2 linked regions of the Astyanax mexicanus genome follow. The protein of the gene in region 1 purifies or fractionates together with the protein of each later gene. This does not show direct contact. Links are inferred from orthologs where the notes say so. Each region holds a gene or a part of one and is shown on either strand. Other genes may lie near its edges. The genes, in order: rfc4 and atad5a.

Region 1 (10,911 bases):
CAAAACTGCTAAAGCTTGAGTTTTGCATAATATAATAATTAAATAATTAAATAATTCCCCACTCAAAACTGGAAAATTCCAGCTTCTTAGTTCAAATGGAAAACTGCATTAATCTGAAACTTTAACAATGATTACATATTACATCCATCTCCTGATACACAAAAAACAGGAATAATACACAATTATCAGTCTTTACAGGGTCTTCTATTTAAAATGCCCCTTCCCAAAAATAAGCTAACCCAAAACAGAGTATATAGGACATAATTAAAACAAACACTACTTTGCTGTCCAGCTTGAAGCCATGGTGTTGCTATGGATTCAAAGTGACAGAAGATGGAGCAGAAAGAGTTTGGCCAAGAAACATTCTGTGAGTGTGACCGCATCCTCCTCCACAAAGGAGGACCACAAGCTGCAATTACACACAAGATAACACCCCAGTGTCCCACAGCACAGCTCCCGCTGCCATTTCAGCACATCGACAGGAGAAAAACAAGTGTCCAGCTAAGACTAAGTTACAGGAAAACCCATAAAATCAGGGTAAACAGCCCTCTTATCATGACCATCCAATCTTTATCACCAACAATGATAATCTCAGAATGCTCAGCGCAGGATTCATTTTGCTCTGGTTAAGTTTTACACTGGTAAACGTTTAAATGCATTTAGATGCCTTAGCCTAGCTTGACATTCCCTCATAACAGTAGAGCATGACTGTAAACCTGGAATTGGAGCAGACGAAAGTTCAGACATATCTGATAATATGCTTCCTGATCACATTTGGAGAACCACAACACTAGAAAGCCACAATATTGACCCCACAATATACAATCTACCTGGTGATGGAAGAAAGTCACTGGCTTGCTTCTGCTGAATGTGTCACACTCACTAAAATAAACAAACCTTAAAAATATACAGTGAACTAATGATGACAGTCAATTTGAATTGCCAAAAACATGCATTTATTAACTATTTAAAATGTTAATGCTTTAAAATGTTGTAGGTGTATAATTTATGATCGATCATCAACATATCTGTGGCAAACAATTGTCTTAATAATAAAATGTATCAGAATTACTTCAATCAAGTCGCTGTCCAGTGAAAAACAAGTATCTCCATTTTTGTGGATTTTAGGTTTATTACATAATTTGAACAGACAAACTGTCCCTTACACTATGCCAAAGATTCTTGATACTGAAACAAACTCTTTTTCCATTGACTTCCATTGAAATTGAAGTATGTTTTTTCTCTCTCCGGTAAAGTTGCTGTTTTGGAGATACTTGTTTTTCATTGTACAGCAACAATATACTGTCCATAAAAATGGCTATTGTGGGATGGGGTCTTTTCAAGAAGCCCAACTGGGTACTAGTAACAACTCATGTACAAACCCACTCAGTGCTCAGGCTCACCTGGAGCCCAACTGGAACCCACCTAGCCCTTGATCCACTCATGTGAGACCCACATTGACATTTTGCTGGGGTAATGAGCTGATCTGATCTAGAAGACACCTAAGTAAGAGGTCTATTAAGCTTTGTTTGTGTTGACATACATCTACTCTACAGGTGAACAGCAGCTAAAAGTCCAGAAAGTGTGTTTCACAGCTGTCCAGAGAAACTGAGACACTGGTGCAATCATTCTGCCACTTGCACACAATAAATCAAGTTTGTGGATGATGCAGGTGAGGAATACCAGTGTTCTCGGGTGCTCTTATGTCTGTGTTACCTTCTGTAGCGACTATGATTATATTATATTAGCACACACAGATAATCAGACTTATAGGGTGATACTGTTACCCTTTTTGAATCAACAATCTTTAGTAGTGCAAACGGATGAGGATGTGTCTAATTACCCCCAAAGTTTCTTCCTTGACATTTGAAGGAGTTTGCCCTTGCTATTGTTTTCTTTGGCTTGCCCAATGGAGGTATTAGTTTAATATTTTATGTATTGATGATCTCTTGTCCTGTTTATTACTGGATTCCTGTAAATGTGCTTTGTGACAATGTCAGCTGTGTGCTATTCAAATAAATTTGACTACAGTGTCTATGCCCACTTGGAAACCACCTAGCCCCCATTCCTCCCATGTAAACCCAACATTGGCAACGTAAACACTAAAACATGGGGCAGGTGGTCTTCCAGTCATAGCTCCTCCCACTTTTCTATTCTCTTTCTACTGTTTTCTTTGACTTGCCCAATAAGAGGTATTATGTTAATATTTAATGCATTGATTATCTCTATTGTCCCATTTGTTACTGGATTCTTGTAAATCTGCTTTGTGACAATGTCAGTTGTGAAAAGTACCATACAAATACATGTGACTACAGTGCCTATGCCCACATACCACCCATGTAAACCCAATATGAGCAATGTAAACCCTAAAACATGGGGCAGGGGGTCTTCCAGTCTTAGCTCCTTCCAAGGTTTCTTCCTCTAGATTTCACTGTTGTGTCATGCGATTAAGTTATACAATTTTATACAATTTTGTTCCATCTCACGTCCCACATGTGATGAGAATGACAATTAAGTCTCACTGAATCCTTGAAATTAATGCTTTACATATTGTTTATGTATGTAATGTGGTGTGCATTGATTCCTGAAAATCTCCTTTGTGACCATGCCAATTGTAGAAAGTGCTATACAAATACACTCGACTACAGTGTCTGTACCCATTTGGAACCCATCTAGCCCACATTCCACCCAAGTAAACAAAACATGAGCAATGTAAAAACTGAAACATGGGGCAGGGGGTCTTCCAGTCTTTAGTTTCTCCGAAGTTTCTTTTTCCAGATTTGAAGGAGTTTGCCCTTGCTACTGTTTTCTTTGGCTTGCTCAATGGGGTATTATGTGAATATTTTATGTACTGATGATCTCTTGTCTTTTTTATTACTGGATTTCTGTAAATCTGCTTCGTGACGAGGTCAGCTGTGAAAAGTGCTACACAAATACATTTGACTACAGTGTCTATGCCCACATTCCACCCATGTAAACCCAACATGAGCAATGTAAACACTAAAACATGGGGCAGGGGGTCTTTCAGTCCCAACGTTTCTTCCTCCATATTTGAAGGATTTTCCCTCGTCACTGTTGTTTTTGGTTATTAAGCTAACGTTTAATGTATTGTTTATGTATGTAATGTGTCATGTACTGATTCCTTTAAATCTGCTTTGTGACTTGGAACCCACCTAGCCCACATTCCTCCCATGTAAACCCAACACGCGCAATGTAAACACAGAAACATGGGGCAGGGGGTCCTCCAGCCAGGACCAAGCTTGGGAACCAGTGGTCTAGGAGAACACTTAGCAAAAAGCCTACAAAGCTGTGTCTGCGTTGACCACGTTGATCTAGCTAGTTAACCTAGCTACTCTACAGAAAGTCAACAGATAACTAGTTACATGGTCCAGAAATCCAGCTGTGCAAAAGCTCACCTTGTTCAGCGACGGTACCAGCAGCCCCCTCCATTTAGGCGCGTTCTCCTCGCTGAAGAAATCGTACTGGAACTGTGTCCCTTGCATGACTTCGGTGGAGCTTCAGGGCCGCCGGTCAGGGTCCGGGTCCGTCCTGCTGAAGCCCTGGCCGGTGAGCCGTGTGTCACACCAGAAAGGCAGGCGCGGGGCCATACACAGGCCCGCGGCCGGGAAGGAGCCTGGTCGAGCGGACCGAGTGGAAATAGCAGCGACCTAATGCGACCATCGCATCGTTGTGGCGAAGCGCTGAGCTGTCTGGAGTCACCAAAAACAAGACGAAAACGTGCCTGAGTGGCTTTAACAGCTCTATAAACGCCCCAAGCCGCAGCCCGAGGCTTTAAAAACAGCAACTCCAGCGAAGAAACACGCAGCCAAACAGCTGGAGCTGCCCCTGTATCGGTTCCCTGCACTCCCAGACGCCGTAGAAACGGGCTGGTGCTAGCTCGGCTAAGCTAACAATAATAATAATAAACGGTTCGCTGTGCTAAGCTAGGCTAAGCTAAGCTAAACCAAACAGGGATTCGCTTACAAACAGCTAACTAATGCGGATTCAAAACTGAAATGTGTCACCACAGTGAAAAAAAGCCCGAGTTTAACTCTCCCCTTTTCGGTACAGTTTAGGACAAAAGCGGCTCCAGCTCCTCGGAACACATTCGTCCATTTTAGCTAGCCGGTGTTCTGTCGGGTTGCGCTACCCACCGATATGTGGTGCTTTGGGGCACTGCGCATGCGCCGAACTACTGTTGTTATTACTATTTTCTCGCTATATAGTTGTTGTTTAATAAATGTTAATAAATGTGGATTAATATAAACAAAATTATAATGAATAACACATACATTATCTTATATTTAACTTTTAACCAAACATATATTTTGATTTAGATTAAAGGTGGGCAGTATTCTGATTTTGTATTGTATCCTGATACGGTTTCATATCAACAGTAGGTTATACTTTTTTTTTGACAATATGCTTCATATTTTTTATTGCAGAATTTAGTCAATACAAACATATAATCAGCATAAATAATAGTAAAAAAAACGTTTCCCTAAACACAAAAGTATCAAAACTATGTCAATAATATAATAATAAAAACAACAATGATTAAAAAGAAATAATACTATTACTAAGCAAAATAAACTACAATAAAAAATAATATATATATAAAAGAGATGTGCTTTTTAGTCCAAAGGAATATACTTTTTTTAGCATATTAAAGACATCCTCAGTGCTGCCTTTTAACTGCGTTCAAATGTCGTGTCATGATAATTTGTGTATAAATCGAGTATTGTTAAAACTGTCTTTAAATAGTTTTATCATATCTTTCAGCCCTAATTCAATAAAGCCAAATGTGTCCCATATACCTACACTTTTGCCGGGGGCATTTTTTGATAAAAGCTAATGATATCAGACTATCGAATTATCTTCCCTAATGTTTTATTAAGGCATGTCTACCTATACATAAATACTAAGGTAGCTCGCCGTGACAAGGTAACCTAAATGGACAGAACACCGGATCTACGGGAGGGTGGCTAACCATTAATTTCGCCGTGGTGCTCTAGTTCAGAGACGGCAGATTGAGCTGGTGACAGCGCAGGCGGGCGCTGGAGAGAGTGCAGGATGTATGGAGGATGGTGCAGTTAGTAAAGAGGAGTTTTTACAGGTTTAAAGCGAGCCGTTCGCTTTATTTTGGGCGGTTGTTGTGACTCGGCTGCAGATGTGGATCATGCGCAGTGGGGGACAGAGACTCTCTCTCTCCGCTGGGCTGGAGGGACAATAACAAAGCTTTCTGAGCTATTTAACGCGCTGTTTCTCGCTCAGATCGATAGATAAAGCGTCAAAAAAACTGAGGATTTCAGAATGCCCCCAAAAAACAGAGGAATCAGTTCCCTCTTGCCGCTCTCTTCAGCCAATAAACCCAATGCGATCACTACGCTGAAGAGGTCGCAGGCACAACCAATTGATGGTCGAGTAGGAAGGGATAAGAGACTATACAAGTCAATTGCCGAGAAATAGAGCGAGTCCGCTGTCAGTAGAAGGTAGAGGGATGTGCCGGGCTCTCCTGTCACCTGCGGGTCAATATCATTATAACGCGCCTGGGTCTGAAGTCCAATGAATATTATAATGTTTTAAAAACGTTCTGAAGTCTAAAATGCTGCCCATCATTCATTACTAATTATATTGGGATTTCTGTGCGACTTTACTGAAATTTGTCAAATTGAATGACCTTCATTTCTTACGATTTTTTTTATTTGCTTAGTTATTCTTACTATCTTGTTATTGTTACTATCATTAACAATCATAATTATTACTTACATTATGATTAGAATTATATTACTATAGTTATATCATTATATCAGTACATCTGAACATAACAGTATTATGTACTGGTAATTTTTTTTACCAACAATTTGTAATACGATACATAGATTTTGACGTTTTATACAGTATTTTTAAGGACAGTATTAATGTTGGGGGGAATATGGAATACATTAGGTTCTCTAAAAAAAGAATTTATTTTTTGAAAGACCATAAAATATTTTTTTTATATCAGTGTTTACATTTGCATCACTAACGTATGCTGAAAATATGAAAAAAGTGGATTTTTCCGTATGCATGCAATACTTAAAATTTGAATACATATTTTGATTCTTAATGTAAAAATATATAATTTGATTTAAAAAATAAAATGAATTTTATATTAAACACAAAAACAGTGCAGCTTTGCAGCCATAAACAACCGATTTATAATGTTTTTATTTTCTTCTTTTTGTTTCTGTTTTTCCATATTTATTTGCTATAGTATCATTAGTTTCCTTAATAATATTAAAAAAAATCTTAATAAATATTAAATATAATAAATATTAAAAAGTGGGCGCGTGAACACGTCGGCGCCGGAGTGACGTAGTGACGCTGTCATCGTGTGCGCGCCTGGCGGGAAACTGGCGCTGCTTGTGTTTCAGTTCGGAGAGTAAACACTTTATAAACCTTTATAAGCAGGTAAATACTGGGTTGTGTGGACGCGCTTCTGGTTGTTGTGCATGCTTACTAATATTTTATATAAACCTGAGGCCTGTGCTGCCTTTATATTCTCTTATAAACTGAGTTAGAGACTGAAGAGTGAGAGAATCAGGGCTGTGTTGATTCTGCTGCTGCTGCTAGTATAGTAGTTATCCTAGCTGTTAGCATACTAACCTGTAGAGCTGAGCCTCAGTACAGTAACAGCTGCATTACTACTGCTGAAACTTTAAAACATCTGTCAGTGTTGTATGACCAATCATACAAGTGTGTGTGTGTGTCTGCTACTTTTACAGGGTAGGAAACATGCAGGCTTTTCTGAAAGGATCTACACAGAGTGTTAAACCACAGAGGGATAAGGCCACAGCTGGGAGCAGTGGAGAGAAGAGACAGAAACCGGTGCCATGGGTGGAAAAATAGTAAGTGAATGACTATATGTATTTTCTTTGTCTAAAGGCATTAGAGGTGGTCAATATTATATCGTATACAATATATCGTGACACAGAAATATCATGATATTAAAAATCGTAAATATCGTGATAATAGGGCTGTTCTGTCTTAAAAGTAGTCTATTATTCACTGTGAAGCTTTAGGTGTATTTATTGTATAATTGTTTTAGTTTGCAATTTATATGCATGCACAAAATATTCTGCAATATTATTTGCTGCATTATATTATTTTATGCTGTATTATTTATTTTGCCACATTATGATTATACTGTTATACTATTATACTATATTCCTGAAATGAATGAATTTTTTTTGTTTTCCTATATCGCCAAGAATATCGTTTTCGCAAAAATACCCTGAAATATCGTGATATTATTTTAGACTCATATCACCCACCCCTACTAAAGGCATTAGAGGTGGTCAATAAGGCACTAAAATAATATCACAATATTTTATGGTATTTTGCAATAACGATATTCTTGGCGACATGACAAAAATTTAATAAAATATTTTCAAGAATATACTGATCATACTATTGCAGTAAATGTATTTTTCATATAATTGCATGTAATATGATATGCCAACCCCTGTTAGAGATTTCCACCTGATTGTAACAGAAGTAAATGATCCAACATGTCATGATACTAATAATGCACTGTATTATAGCTGCCTTAAAGTGATCCATTGTAGAAGACTGGCCTACACTTCTGGAGTAAATTCAAATTCAGTCAGAACAGCCTATTCAACAACTTAACTTAAAAGGGGTGGCAAACCATGCCGACATGCAGTATTTCATCACACTTTTAATCACTTAAATATAAAACAACATTAAAATTCTATTGTTTGCAATATATGAGTAGCTAATACACGCTTAAATCTTGTTTTTTTTTAAGCTGTATGATATTTGTCAGCCTTGCTGGATGACATCTTTAGATTCTCATTTAAAAGTATGTCCATTTTAACAATTCTGGATAGGAGACAATGCAAAATCTGCATAATGTCACTGTCCAGCAAAAGCACTGCCTGTCTTTCTGACATATTTGTATTGGTCTGGGCATAATGTAAAATACAGTTGGCAATCAAAAAGGGAAAAACAGTGACAGGCTGTATGTTGTGTTGTGGTATGTTGGTAATAAGCAATGTAAATTATATACACCGATCACTGGCATACGCCATAATATTGGTATGGTGTTCAATCAACTTATATTAGAGAGGAATTCATGTTTTCCTATTATTAGTGATGGGTGTTTTTTTTTGTAGCACTGATTTGCAACAGTATGCATATTATTATTTTGTATTGAAATATACCATTTTGGATTTTGCATTATAGCTGTTTCTTTGATAACTATGGAGTAATAGTTTCGTATAGGTTGTTTTGATGTTGTGTGGTAGTGTGAGTTGTAAGGTGGTGTTGGTTGTATAATGGTAGTTTAATTTGGCTGTCAGAAAAACGTGTCTTACTTCAGGATATGTATTTTATCCAGTTATTGTGATAACGTTAACCACAGAATTGGTCTTATGTCTGGTGCCTTTCAATACCACTATTAACAATGAATCTGTGATTGTTATGCTGAATTGTGCAAAAGTACAAGAGCAGGGTTGAAGATATGTATTGTTTTTGGTAAAATTACATCACAGTATGCCACATTATAGACTTTTGAGTTATTAAGTTATAAAACACTCAAAAGTTTTAGGGTTCTTTATAGTTCATTACATTGTTAGTCAGGGTTGCTGGCAGTGGGTGATTGAATTAAAATCATACGTACTTATAGTTTTTGATGTTTTTTTTAAATGGCACCACTGGCTCTATTTTGTTTGTTCTAATGACCAGTATAACATTATGACTTATAGAATGTCTTTTTTTTTCTTTCACAGCAGGCCTAAGTGTGTGGATGAAGTTGCTTTTCAAGAGGAGGTTGTTGCGGTATTGAAGAAATCACTAGAGGGCGCTGACGTAGGTTTTCTTTTAATTAATTAATTTATTTTTTATTATTAAATATACCTTCAGACATGATGTTATATTAACATATTAATTAATTTATTTTTTATTATTAAATATACCTTCAGACATTATGTTATATTAACATATATTAATTAATTTATTTTTTATTATTAAATATACCTTCAGACATGATGTTATATTAACATATTAATTAATTTATTTTTTATTATTAAATATACCTTCAGACATGATGTTATATTAACATATATCTTAATCTTATCTATATGACATATTAAATTATACATTTTAATTCCTTTCGTTTTAACAGATTATTTAATATATATTAAACATATTTGCTGTGGAACAGATAATAAACAATAACTTTCGAATAAGCACACTTTGAGAGTCAGGTCAGGCCACTGATGGCTCGTGGTGAAGATCTGCAGAGCTGGGTTTACCTCTCTCTTTCTCTCTCTCTCTCTCTATCTCTCTCTCTCTCTCTCTCTCTCTCTATTGTACTATAAATAGTAAATGCTTGTTCTCTGCTGTAGTTTCTTCTCCTTGTGTTCTGTGCCACTTGTGTAATTGAATATGTGTGAAGCTGAAGGCATAAGCACTTCCCTCGCTCCACTGTGTCTCTGTCTGTGCAGACGAGATGAGTCCTTCTGACAGACCTCACCAATGCAGTGCATATTTTTAATCAGAATTGCTTATGTGCTGTTTAATCTTGTTAAGCGTATGGTTGACATTTGTGCATTCATCTGTGTTTGTAGTTTGTGAAAATCACTTTTCTCTTTGCATTTAGCTCCCGAATCTACTGTTCTATGGACCACCTGGAACTGGAAAGACATCCACTATTCTTGCTGCAGCAAGAGAATTATATGGGTAAAACCACCTTATTTTTATTGTTTATTCTACATTTTTATTGTATGCATTTCTGAACTTTTGAGAGACATGGCCACTAAAAATTGCACACATATGGGTTGGGGCTGCATTGTGATATTTTGTTCTGCAATATATATTGCAATGCTAAAAATACAGTAATTTCCCCAAATTTCAGCATGTCAGTAATTAAAATTGTATAAATGTTAATTGTTTTAGTTTGCAGTTTATATGCATGCACTAAATATTCTGCAATATTTTTTGCATTATATTATTATATGTGCATTATATTATTTTATGGTATATTATTTATTTTGCCACATTATGATTATACTATTATAATATATTCCTGAAATGAATGAATTATTTTAGTTTTCCTATATCGCCAAGTATATCGTTATCGCAAAAATACCCTGAAATATCGTGATATTATTTTAGAGCCATACCTAAAGGCATTAGAGGTGGTCAATAAGGCACTAAAATAATATCACGATATTTTATGGTATTTTGCAATAACGATATTCTTGGCGACATGACAAAAATTGAATAAAATATTTTCAAGAATATACTGATCATACTATTGCAGTAAATGTATTTTTGATATAATTGCATGTAATATGATAATTAAAAGATGTCATGATATCAAAATTGCAATTTGTGCGTCAATGATTGGCATAAAAATAAATGGTATGAGAGAGAAATTAATGAGATTGTCATGTTCAATGAGAATAGTATGTTTTTTTTTGTGTGTGTGTGTGTGTGTGTGTGTGTGTGTGTGTGTATTGACACAAAACATTATGTAATGAGACTATTGCACATGTGTACATTGCAATATCAATTTAAAAACAATATTATGCAGCCTTAATTGGCTCTGCATTGTTACACATTTCTGGTGAACATTTTCTTGCTTACTTCACCAAAGTTACATTGTGAAGCTAGTAGCATACTGAGCCCAGAGTAGAAATTACGACAAAATTATGACAAAGCGACATTGTCCTCTTTTACAATGCACTTATGTTTTAGGGTTAATGCTTCTTTATTTGGCCAGCTACATCAGCACTAAATGTACTCCCCTCTCTCTGCAGCCCAGAGCTGTACCGCCAGAGAGTGCTGGAGCTGAACGCCTCTGATGAGAGAGGGATTCAGGTGGTCCGGGAAAAAGTAAAG
Region 2 (11,356 bases), on another chromosome or scaffold:
AGGGCTCTGTGTTGCCAGATCACTCATGAAAGGATGGGCATAAAAACTACTGTTTTAATTAAAAAAAATACATAAAATATAAAAACACAGGATCGTCTTCTTTAATAAACAAATGCCTGTTTTTAAAAAAATAATAAAAAATAAAAAAAGCATGTCACCTGCTTTACACATCATAGAGGCCAGCAGCTTAGAGACGATGGAACCTCTTTTTCTCATTTTGCACTGTTTACTGTAGGGAAAATAGGGAATGACTCCGATGATATTCCGGGCACAGGAGGTTCTGCAGGCATACACCATAATGAGCAGTTCCATGATGGTTGTGTTGACATCCCTGTGGGAAAAACAGATCAAAAAAAGGGGCTAAATGAACACCCAACTTTTAGTGACTGGGGAAAAATAAACACTCAAATCAATGTGGGTCTTACTTGGATACAGTCTGGATGATGAAGACATCTTTACCACGCACCGACTCCTGGATCTGAACACGCGTTTCTGTGTAAGAAAAAAAAAATCGCTTCTGTAAGACAAATCTATGAAAACTCTTTTCTTATGATATAGAAAGGGTGGTATTTCCACTATGATACAATCTATTACACTCTAATACACATGGTCAAAACAAAGAGAGGGTCTTTTTAATTGGTGAATAGAGGATAGTGGCTCAGCCACCCAATTTGTTTTGTCTGCATTATCCAGCATGGAATGCAAAGAATGAGCAGCCTCTCTGCAAAATCAACAATTCAGACTGGGCCACCAAGGCCAGTTATCCCGACCAGGACAACAGACAGACATTCCCAGGACTAATTTGCCACTGAGGAAGTCCAACTATCCTGTAAACATCCATAATTCATTTAGAAATGTAATGTATTATCATCAAAATCATAATCTAATAATAATAATAATAATAATAATAATAATAATAATAATAATAATAATAATGTGTTTAAAACACGTTTTAATCCTTTAAGACGAGAATTATGTAACACTGATGTGAAAAATATATGAATATAATAAATATATAAATGCTGACTCTAATGTTCTAAGAAAATAATATTTAATTACTTTTTTTATTGGAAGCCTTTTTATTTCACAAACCATCTCTTAACAGTAAAATAAACATGATTAAATGTATTCTAAATCAATTAACCTACTTTGTGGTCTATCCTGCACTGTAAAAATGTTTCTTGTAAATCTTTACTGCAAGTTAACAGCAAAAAAGTTGTTAGTAAAGGATTGTAAAATTACAGAAAGATCACAACATATTATTTTATAATAAGAATTGTAATTAATACATTAATTACAAATTATTGCAGCTTTTGTAGAATAAGCTTTTGCCTAAATAAATACACAATAACACTGTAATTATTATTTACAATAAATATATGTAGTTTTAAGTTTTGGGGGTTTAGTTGCCAGTGAATATATATAAAATATATATATATACATGATGTCCATTATAATGGACACAGAGTCTGAAGGGGTTAAAATGTTGCTCAGTTGTGGTGTGTCTCAGAACTACTGTCTGACCCCAATTACTTAAGAGGAAAGCAGAAGTGATGAGATGAGAGTCAGTTAAGCTGTCCACACAACCATGCTGACTTGACAGGGCGTTTTAAATGCAAAGCACTTAAATTCTCTACTTATACCTACAACCTAACAGTAAGGTGGGCAAATTATTCCACTGCAAATTATGTTTATTAGCAAAAAGTAAAAACTTGCATCTGTCTACAATAAAATAAAATGTAATTATATAACCTTTTCAAGACAAGAGCAAGATGGATAAAAGAAGTCCTAAAAGATTCTGTAGAGCCCATGTGGAATGAGCTAAAATTCCCCAGAAACACTGCAAGAAGCTGGTATCTGCCTATGCATCATGTCTGCAGCAGAACATACCAGCATAAAGGTGTTTGAGGTTGAATAATTGTGAGAATTGTGTAGTTGTTTTGGGCCATTTCAATTGTTATTTTTTTATTGGTTTATTGTATTGCAAATAAATGCACCATTTTTAATTTGAATCATTTTGAGGATGTGTTTACCCACTACCTATAAAACCTAAAAATAGATATTTTTGTAACAGATCCGACCACAGACAGATACCACTTGAGATACAGCACACTGGGTTTCATCTTACCTCTATTTGCTTCTTGATACACTTGCACCTTGCCAAGCTCCACACCCAATCGTCTGAAGTAAATAAGAAGGAAAAAATAATCATCAGTAAGAAAAAAAAAACAGTGATTTACTAAACACAGAAGACTAAAGGCGAAAGGTCTTGAAGGATCCTTAGTCAATAATTTCACACCAGCTTAGGTGAATGATTAACTGAATTATTGGCCAACTTCAGGACAGGCACATACTTGCCTTTCTCAGATTAGAAGCTGCACTTTAAGCTGGCAGGTCAATATTTCCACCAGACAAAACATTATTTTACTAAACACAACACAAAGCTAAACATCAAATGTGAATCTAAACAACATCAGAATAAATTAAGTTTAACTTACTCTGCGATCCTTTTTCCCAGCTCCCTGCTGGAGGGGTTGGAGTTGGCCGTAAAAATGACCAGGCCTCCCTTTGCGGCGTTCATGTCCAGTTTCTTCTTAGTTTCTACCTCGAGGGACTCAGGCAGTGGCTCCCTGGGCTCCCAGGCACTGCTGAGCCCTTCCTATAAACAGTTTCACAAGCAGACTGTTAGTTTAACACCACACCACACAAGTATGCCTGATCAAATCCTGTAAAGAAAAAGAGGAGGAATATGATACAATCAGCTGTTAGTAATTAGTTGAATTAAGTACTTGAATTCTACCACGGTTTTTTAATTAGTCTAATTTTGGTTTATGATGCCAAACCAGGTAAAACATTTTTAGAAGCTATTTTACCATTGAAATATAAGAATCACTTGAAAATAAACCCTATGCTCAAATGGTTGTACACACCCTTTCTAAAGAATACATTCAGATACTAGAGGGGTATAAAGCAGAGGTGGACAATATCACTTATTATAATCTCTCCAATCATACCTATAATACACTTTTAAGCATATCATGCACATCCAACAGTGCTTAAAGAACACTGACCGAGCTGTAAATTTAATTACACAGAGCATACATAATCATGTTTAACAGGATGGGAAAAAAGAATAGGTTTAAAAAATACTGTGAAAATATAAAACAATTGTTTCTTTAGTTTGTTTGTTTGTTTGTTTGTTTGTGTTTAAAGCCAATTTAGCAGCTGTGGCTATTTCATGGCTAATACAAGTAAAAGATTTCACTCAATAAAAAAAATTAAAAAATACATTATAATACATAATACATTATAATACATTATACATTATAATACATAATACATAAATACACTAGATAAGGTTGGTCACATTAATAGACTTTAAAAATTGTAAAAGTTTTAAAGGTGAGACCTTATTAAAAATATCTACAGTAGTCATTTCTGTAAAAAACTGCTGTCTTTTCACTCTAAGAGCAGGACAAGATAAAATATGGTTGATTGATAAAACATTGCCACAGTGATCACACAGGGGAGGTTCATCTCTAATTAGTAAAAAGCCATGGGTGAGCCTAGAATGTCCAATCCTACACCTTGTATAAACAACTTGATCATGTCTACAAGAAAATAATTGAGTTACAGTTTGTTTCACAGAAATGCAGATTTCATGCAGCTTATTGTCATCGCAGCTGTCCCATTCAGCTTGCCATTTATCAATTATATAGGACGAAAGTACAGGTTTGATATCAGAGACAGGGATCTGGCACTCAGAGATGTTTTCATTCAAAGCTCCTTTAGCAGCACTATCTGCCTTTTCGATACCAATTGTTTCTTTAGAATCAGTCTCTCCTGATGACTTTTGAATGTGAACATTTGTATTAAGATAAAGAGAATGTTTTTTTTTTTTAAATATCTTTAGGTTATTTAAAAATGTTATTGTGATGTTCTGCAAAATATAGCGCGATTTAATAAATAAAGGAATTTCAAATATTTCACAAAAATTCTAGGATTCAAATGACCATGATTAATAACAACAGTTGTATGTCCAAAACTGGAGTAAAATAAATAACACTGGGCATATTATATTGCAATTATGTATGGGACAGCGCAAAGAAAAACTGTTATCCTGACAGGCCTATGTGGAGCAGTGTTGTTGTACTACAGCGCTCCATCTAATAATATTGTTTCTTCAGAATCTGTAACTCCTGATTCCTTTTAATGTGAACATATGTATTCAGATATATATCATTATTTGGGAAAATATCTTTAAATTATTGAATTAAAAAATGTCACTGTGATGTTTTGCTGTTCTGCTATAGTGGGATATAATTCAATGCAGACATTTCCACAAATTTCACAGAAATTCTAGGATCCATCCAGTCATGATTATTAACAGTTTGTGTTCAAAAGTGGAGTAAAATAAATTATACTGGACATATTGTATCGCAATTATTTATGGGACAATGTGCACAAAAACAGTTATCCTGACAGGCCTATGTGGAGACGGGTTGTCTGATACTACAACGCTCCATCTAATACTTTAAGGGTTAGTTAGGGGGTTTGATGATCCCCAGTTCACCTTATCTCTAACAGTTATTAAATTAATTTAAAGCCTTAAAGCAATGCTCCAAATCTAACCTAGTTATCTAATACACTTTCTGAACAGCAGAAACAGTTTCTCCTACAAAAACAAGACAAACTGTTGATTAAACCGTTGAAATCAGAAGAAAAAATGAATAAGCACATGTCCCAATACTTCTGTCCACATAGTGTATCTGAAAGTGTCTCCAAGTGCCCATGACAACAAGGCTTTCTCGTGACAAGAAACCAACCACAGGGAAATTAGCTAGTTAGCATGTAAGGCTAGCTAACCGGTTATCTTAGCTATGTTTCAGCCTTAAACATGAACCAACCACTTCCAAAATCAAATATAAATCTAAACATGTTTACAGAGGTCTTCAAAACCATTCTAAATTCATAAATCTAGCCCAAAACTAGAGATAGACACACACTCTTCACTGGAGCTGGGCAGTATATGTCCACATATTATTAATCCATCCCACGATTTTGTTCCACTTCACAGGGCTGCTCTGCTGCAGCTGACCTATCCCCACAGTTGGAACGAATTCCTGGGCTGGATTTTTAATATATGGACCTGGACTCCGCAGCTCCGCTCAACAGCTAGCTGAGTTAACCTAGCTGGCTAACAGGCGCTACTACATATGCACTGCACTGTTAGGAAATGGAGAAAGCGTGAAAAACCACACCAAAAGTCACGCTAAAACAGCTGTAAATACACATTAAATGAGCTGAACTGATTTAGTGGATTCTCTCACCAGTTTTGTCTCCGTTCCGCCTCCCGACTGACTTACTTTATTTCATGGAGTGCTCGGGTTTAAAAGTGCAGATAAGAGCAACAGCGCTGGAAATAAGGAATAACCGTCAATCGCTGCGCGAGTTTTCAAAATAAAAGACTTCATTCAACACAACCGGCCGCATAAAATCAGGCGCCGTATCTGTAAATCAGAAGATAATGTTTAGTTAATAAGTTTAGAATTTCTGCTAAATATTACATAGATAAATACGATTGAAAAATATTATTATTTTAAAAAAGGATTTGACTTTGTACTATAAATCTTGAAAAATTACCGAGTAAATAAAATGCCCTAAATGTGAGTTTTAAAAATTCATCCCTTGTCGGTCCACTTATTTCTCAATTTATTTATTTATGAATTTTGTTATTAATTATTGTTTTATTTCTTTGTTTGTTTGTTTTAATCCCCTGGTTTGTTTCCTTAGCTACGAACTGATTAGTTTATCGAAAGCCCAGTTTATTTAGTTAGTTTAAAGGTGATGTAAAGTATTACATTGTATTAGTAAAGCCTTTAAACAGGAAAAAAAGATTCATTCATGTGCCTGAAATCTGGTTTTTCTTCCTAAATAAGATTTTCTTCCTAAAAAAATTATTATACATTATTATTATTATTATTTCTATTATTATTATTACTAGTAGTAGTAGTAGTATGTTGTAGTAGTATTAGTGGTATTATTATTATTTGTTATTTATGTAATAACAAGCCAACGCATGCTGTACACACAAATAACCACAATAATATATAAAGGGAGTTTTTAAATTATTATTATTATTATTATTATTATTATTATTATTATTATTATTATTATTATTATTATTATTATTATTATTATTATTATTATTATTATTATTATTATTGAAAAATAAACTCCTACTACATTTGTAAAATTACGCGATATCCTGAACGGTGAGGTGACGAAACTCGCTGTGATTGGTGGATTTTGCGCGGCGGGGCGGGCTCTACAGTTTGGCGCCATTTGCGGGAGAAGGAACTGAGCGGACTGAGTGTAATGTAGCTAGTTGTATTTTATCTGTTTAGTTTTGTAGGAAAGAAAAACGGGCAGTTTTATTGTGTTCGGTGGTGTTTCTGCTTATATTAATGTGTGTGTAGTGTAGCTCACCCGTGTGTTAGGTGTGTTTCAGTAAGCTGTAGACAGGTATCTGTTATTGTTATGGAAGAGTAACGTTAGTTAGCTAGCCGGTTAGCAGCTGGCTTTGTGTTCGGATTTCTGTTATTCGGAACCGGTTCAGTCACTCGGTTTTAGTAACATGAGTTTGATATTAATGTAATTAGTGACAGCTCTCAACTGTGGGAGGCACGGACCATGTGTTATTGGCGCTCAGGTATCATGATTAACTCTGGTGAGTGGCTCTGTAAATGTCCTTATTCTAGAGGACAGTATCAGTACAGTATAGCCTAGGTTCCCTGTTTTGATTAATGTTATATAAGTTAAACTAACTAACCTAGTCAACCTACACGTCTTTAAGGCCTTACTGTTAAAACTCAACTGTGTTTAGATGATTATAGCTTTGTGTTTTACTGGTACTGTGCTGCTGTTTTGTTTTCTAGATTTATAACTTGGATATCAGCACCCACTAGCTATGGCTGGCGTTGTCGCAATGGCAGCTGTTATTGAGGACTTTGAGGCTACTCAGGTTTGTCATTATATTGATTTTTAACTAATTTATATGCATTTTGGTGTTTATCCTAATGGGTTAACAATTAAATATGTGTGTATATACATATGTGTATATATATATATATATCGTCATATTATTTTAAATATTTAGTCACGTGGCCACAATAAGAAGAAAACCTGAATGAGCTGCTTACAGAATTTATCTGATTCAATTTCCAGTTTGGTATCAATAATCAGAAATGGGTCTGAGCTCTTATGGGTTAAAATGAAAAAGACAGTGCCTTCGCTAAACTGAAAAGAAAACAGTGGTTTCATTTCAATTACTCTTTGTTATTTGGTATAGTTTTTATATTCCATATCAAATGTCTGATTTTTTAAAATAACTTAAAGTTCATTCCTCTTCAAAAGTGTTTTGTAATTGCATTGTTATGCTATTGTATTTTTACTTTTATATCAGTGGCATACAGTGAATGGTCTTAAAACGACAATAATATTGTTTATTGTAAGTGAATCAAGACATCAAGCTGCTCCCGTTCTGCCTATCATTCTCAGAACTTTCCACTGCTTACTGTAATTACTACACTAATAACACAGTACTCTACTTTTACTTATAGTTCTTCAGTTGGTAACTGTATAATTGTATTGAATAAACTACTTGGAATACTTAAGTACAAAATTTTTTTAGTACTTTAGTACTTACACTTGACTGTGGAGATTTAAGAACAGCTTCTATTTGTCACTTTTTTGATAGAGCAGTTGTACTTTTGCTCAAGTCTGGGTCTCTAGTACTTTATACATGTCAGCTGGCCACAGATGGAATTTGACTTCTACCTTTAACCCATCTGATCACACACATGCACAATAGTGAGAGAAATAGTTTAGTAAACTGAGAGAATGGATTGATAAATTGACCATTTCATTAAATTAGGGGAGAGCTTTTTGTCTCTGCATATTATTTTTCCTCCTTGATAATTTGGGTTCTGTCTACATTGCTTTTGCTAAACTACAGTATTTGTGTATTTATTCAGCCGTGCAAGAAGCTGAGGAAAGATGATGATCTGCCGCCTACGAAGACCATCACAAACTACTTCATGCCCTTACCGAAGTCTGTGGAAAAGCCTTTCTCTCCTCCTCGCTCCAACAACATTATGGATTACTTCAGGAAGACTTCACCTGCTCAGGAAAATATTGTTTCTTCCCAAAAATGCAGCCCCCTTCAGTCTGCAAAACCAGTCGGTGGTGAGGAAGCCTCTGCTAAGCTGGGTAGGGCACCAAGGCAGAAACGCTCCAGAAAACAAACAAAGGAGCAAAACAAGCTCCAGGAGGAGGAGGAGGAACAGAAGGAACAGGAAGATGCGCTCAATGATGACTGTATATTATTGGGGAGTTCCAGTGACTCTTTATTAAAGGAAGGTGGCAACCTCTCCATGTTTGGCAGTGATACAGCAGCCCTGCTCTCTCAGATTAGCGGTGATATCTGCTTAGATGAAGAATCTCCTAAAAGAAAGAACAACAGGGAGACCTCTGCAAATGGCGAGAAAGTGAAGGATGTGTTATGTAATCGAAAAAGTAAGAACCCTAGCATGGATGGTGACGGCTTAACAAATGATGATGCATCTCCTGTAGAAGGGAATGGTAGAACTATAAAGACTGTGGTACGTAAAAGTAGAAAAGCGAGAGTCAGCCAAAGTGACTCGTGTACTGAGCATGATCAGTCTCTTGCTAATGCCAGCATGGATGTCAATGTGGATGAGACTTCTGTGCTGAACAGAAGCACTGTTACAGTGTCCTTTGAAGACTTCTTACACAGTCAGAGCCAGGGAGAGGAAGAGGACCCTGCAGATCCTGAGCCTAACAAACATGGTGCTGAAATATGTAGTGGTGCTAAGTCTTGTGAGTCTAATGAAGTAGTAATTGCAGCTCCACAGGTTTCCCCAAGAACCCTTACAGTCCAAGCTGAAGTGCATCCCATCTCCCCAAACCAGGAGTCAGCAAAGAGCCCTGAAATGAAAGTGGCATCAATTTTCAGTAGAAAGAAAAAGGATTGTCAAGCAAAAGATAGCAAGATATCTTCCTCTTCTTCCACCCCTCAAGTAACAGCAGACATTCTGCCTGACCTTAAGAGGAAATCCAATGTTGTTCTTCAAGAAGAAGATCTGGAGCTGGCAGTAGTTGAATCCAGCTCCACTCCAAAGTGCACTCAAGAAGAAAGGAAGCTGTTCATGAATGCCTTCAAGCAACCAGGTATGGATGGATCTAAAGCTAAAACCAGCAAGGCATCTGCAAAAACAAAACCAGTGCAGGAAAAAGCAACAGAGATTGTAGAGAAAGAACCTGATGAGAAAGCTGATGAAAGCAAGCCTGATGAGCAAGCCAGCGCAGAGCAAAACCAGAGTACAGAACCAAAAAGTTCTGGCAGGGTTGGAAATAAGCGATCTAAGAAGTCTGGGAAGAAAAAACAGAATAAAACATCTGAAGAGGCTCCAGAATCTACACAAAAGCAAGAGAACCTTCCAGCATCAGTGGAGAAGGATACAGAGTGTCCACAGAGTGGCTCTGCTGATGATCAGGAATCGCAACCTCCCAAGGAGGTTAGAAGATCTTCGAGAGAGAGCACACGCAGACAGGCTGTTCCTTCTGTACCTGAGAGGAAGGCATCCCCGCGTAGAACAAGGAGCCAGGAGAAGGTGAAGGAGCCTACAGTATCTCAGGATGAGCCAGCTCTGCCTTCTACTCCAAAACCCCTTCGATCCAAGAAGAGTGTTTACAGGGCTGAGATGCTTTGCCCACCTGACAAAAAAGAAAGCCCTATCAGGTGGGTTTCGGAGACTCATTGATGGCTAACATGTTGTTCTGAAACTTGTGACTGAGCATGTTTTTTAGCAGATATAATTAATAGTTAATGTGTTTTGTGTTTGTGTTTCTCCAATCAGAATGAAATTCACAAGAGTGTTTCCATCTTCTGCAACAAAAATCGGAGATTTTAATATATCCAGTCCTCTTTCTGCACAGGTAGCTTATATTGTGTTCTCAAGAATCTGCTTTTTCTATTGTTTCATTAATTTACATTATTACGTAAATCCCTGTAGCCTCTGTACATCCAAATGTTTTGCCAAAGTTAAGTTTTGTTTTCATGCACTATAATTATGCTTAGGAACTTTGTATGATGAAGGCTACCATGATTAACAGTGACCATTTTAAAGATGGTAAAAGACAGTTTAGGAAGATGTCCACACCAGATTTGTATTTGTACTTTCAGAATGTCTAGAACAACCTATAAACAGCTGTCTGGCAGTGTTTCCAGTCACTAGCCATATTATGCCAGTATAAGCTAGTATGTGGTAGTATAGTGAGTACAGGGTTGTAGAGGCAGTATAAGGTAGTGGAGAGACATTTTGCCTATGTGTTAACGGCAGTTCATTTTGTTCATAGACTATATGTCAAGTAATACGAATGAGAAGGTATCAGTCCTTTTTCTGTTTAGGTATTTTATGTATATTTTCAAAATTATCAAAACATCAGGGATAGAAATACAGCTAATGAATACCTTTTTGAAATAATTTCTTTTGACAGGATTCAAATTCACTGAAGAAAAGGAAACAGGCTAAAAAGTTGGTCCAGAAAGCAAAAGCACTTAAACAGAGCAAAAAGACTGCTGCAGTAGAGGAGCCTACTGTGCGCCGATCCACAAGGACAAAAGAAATCCCCAAAATGAGTTATTGTGAGAGTGAGGTAGGGCTTTTTTATATTTCATACAGCTTTATATTATTTACAACATATTAGCTTTTATTCCAGTGCCAAAAATAAATTTTGCTTTCCTTCTGTTTTAGGAGTCTATAGTCTTTGTGGAAGATAATTTAAGCAACCCTGCTGCACCTACATCTCAAGAAAGTGGCCAAAATCAGAAAAGTCTTCGCAGTTTGAATGATGTTTTAGGCAAAAACATGCCTTCAAAGACTTCTAAGAATGCGCCAGGTAATGCAATAAATCCGTTCAACAGTCCTCTATAATGTCATTATTGTTGTTTCTTAAATATTAATGACTTGTTTTAATATCTTTTTCTTTGGGTTTGCAGCTTCCAAACTGGCACCCATGTTTATGGATAGAAAAGCTCAGAAACCCACAGCGGTGATTTCCATATTTGATGATAGCAGGTATTACCTTAGGAACAATTGAAAAAAATAAACATCTCTTTTAATATATATTTGAATTTATTTACTAGAGAAAACTTATGTTTTTATGTTTTTCCACAGTCGTGACTGCTCAGAAAACTCTCAAGATGATGAGCAGTTCAGAGCAAAGAGGGAGTTTCTGAAGAGTGGTCTACCAGAGTCTTTTAAAAAGCAGA

What was found.
Region 2: the proteins of rfc4 (region 1) and atad5a purify together in Homo sapiens (affinity purification with mass spectrometry; 5 studies listed by BioGRID and IntAct, counting the BioPlex papers as one, with this or other methods). This does not show direct contact. The link is inferred for Astyanax mexicanus from reciprocal best matches to the Homo sapiens genes RFC4 and ATAD5.

What each region holds. Positions count from the first base shown.
Region 1 is NC_064423.1:31,881,937-31,892,847, reverse strand, and holds the start of rfc4 (replication factor C subunit 4), read left to right. Parts: upstream 1-6,343; 5' UTR 6,344-6,453; intron 6,454-6,767; 5' UTR 6,768-6,777; coding exon 6,778-6,890; intron 6,891-8,795; coding exon 8,796-8,874; intron 8,875-9,667; coding exon 9,668-9,747; intron 9,748-10,829; coding exon 10,830-10,911. Other genes in the region: sos1 (son of sevenless homolog 1), read right to left, coding at 3,417-3,503. UniProt on the Homo sapiens protein: Subunit of the replication factor C (RFC) complex which acts during elongation of primed DNA templates by DNA polymerases delta and epsilon, and is necessary for ATP-dependent loading of proliferating cell nuclear antigen (PCNA) onto primed DNA.
Region 2 is NC_064410.1:53,627,495-53,638,850, reverse strand, and holds the start of atad5a (ATPase family AAA domain-containing protein 5), read left to right. Parts: upstream 1-6,328; 5' UTR 6,329-6,730; intron 6,731-6,938; 5' UTR 6,939-6,970; coding exon 6,971-7,024; intron 7,025-8,036; coding exon 8,037-9,823; intron 9,824-9,941; coding exon 9,942-10,020; intron 10,021-10,581; coding exon 10,582-10,740; intron 10,741-10,838; coding exon 10,839-10,983; intron 10,984-11,083; coding exon 11,084-11,162; intron 11,163-11,261; coding exon 11,262-11,356. Other genes in the region: prpsap2 (phosphoribosyl pyrophosphate synthase-associated protein 2), read right to left, coding at 159-331, 426-492, 2,129-2,181, 2,499-2,581. UniProt on the Homo sapiens protein: Has an important role in DNA replication and in maintaining genome integrity during replication stress.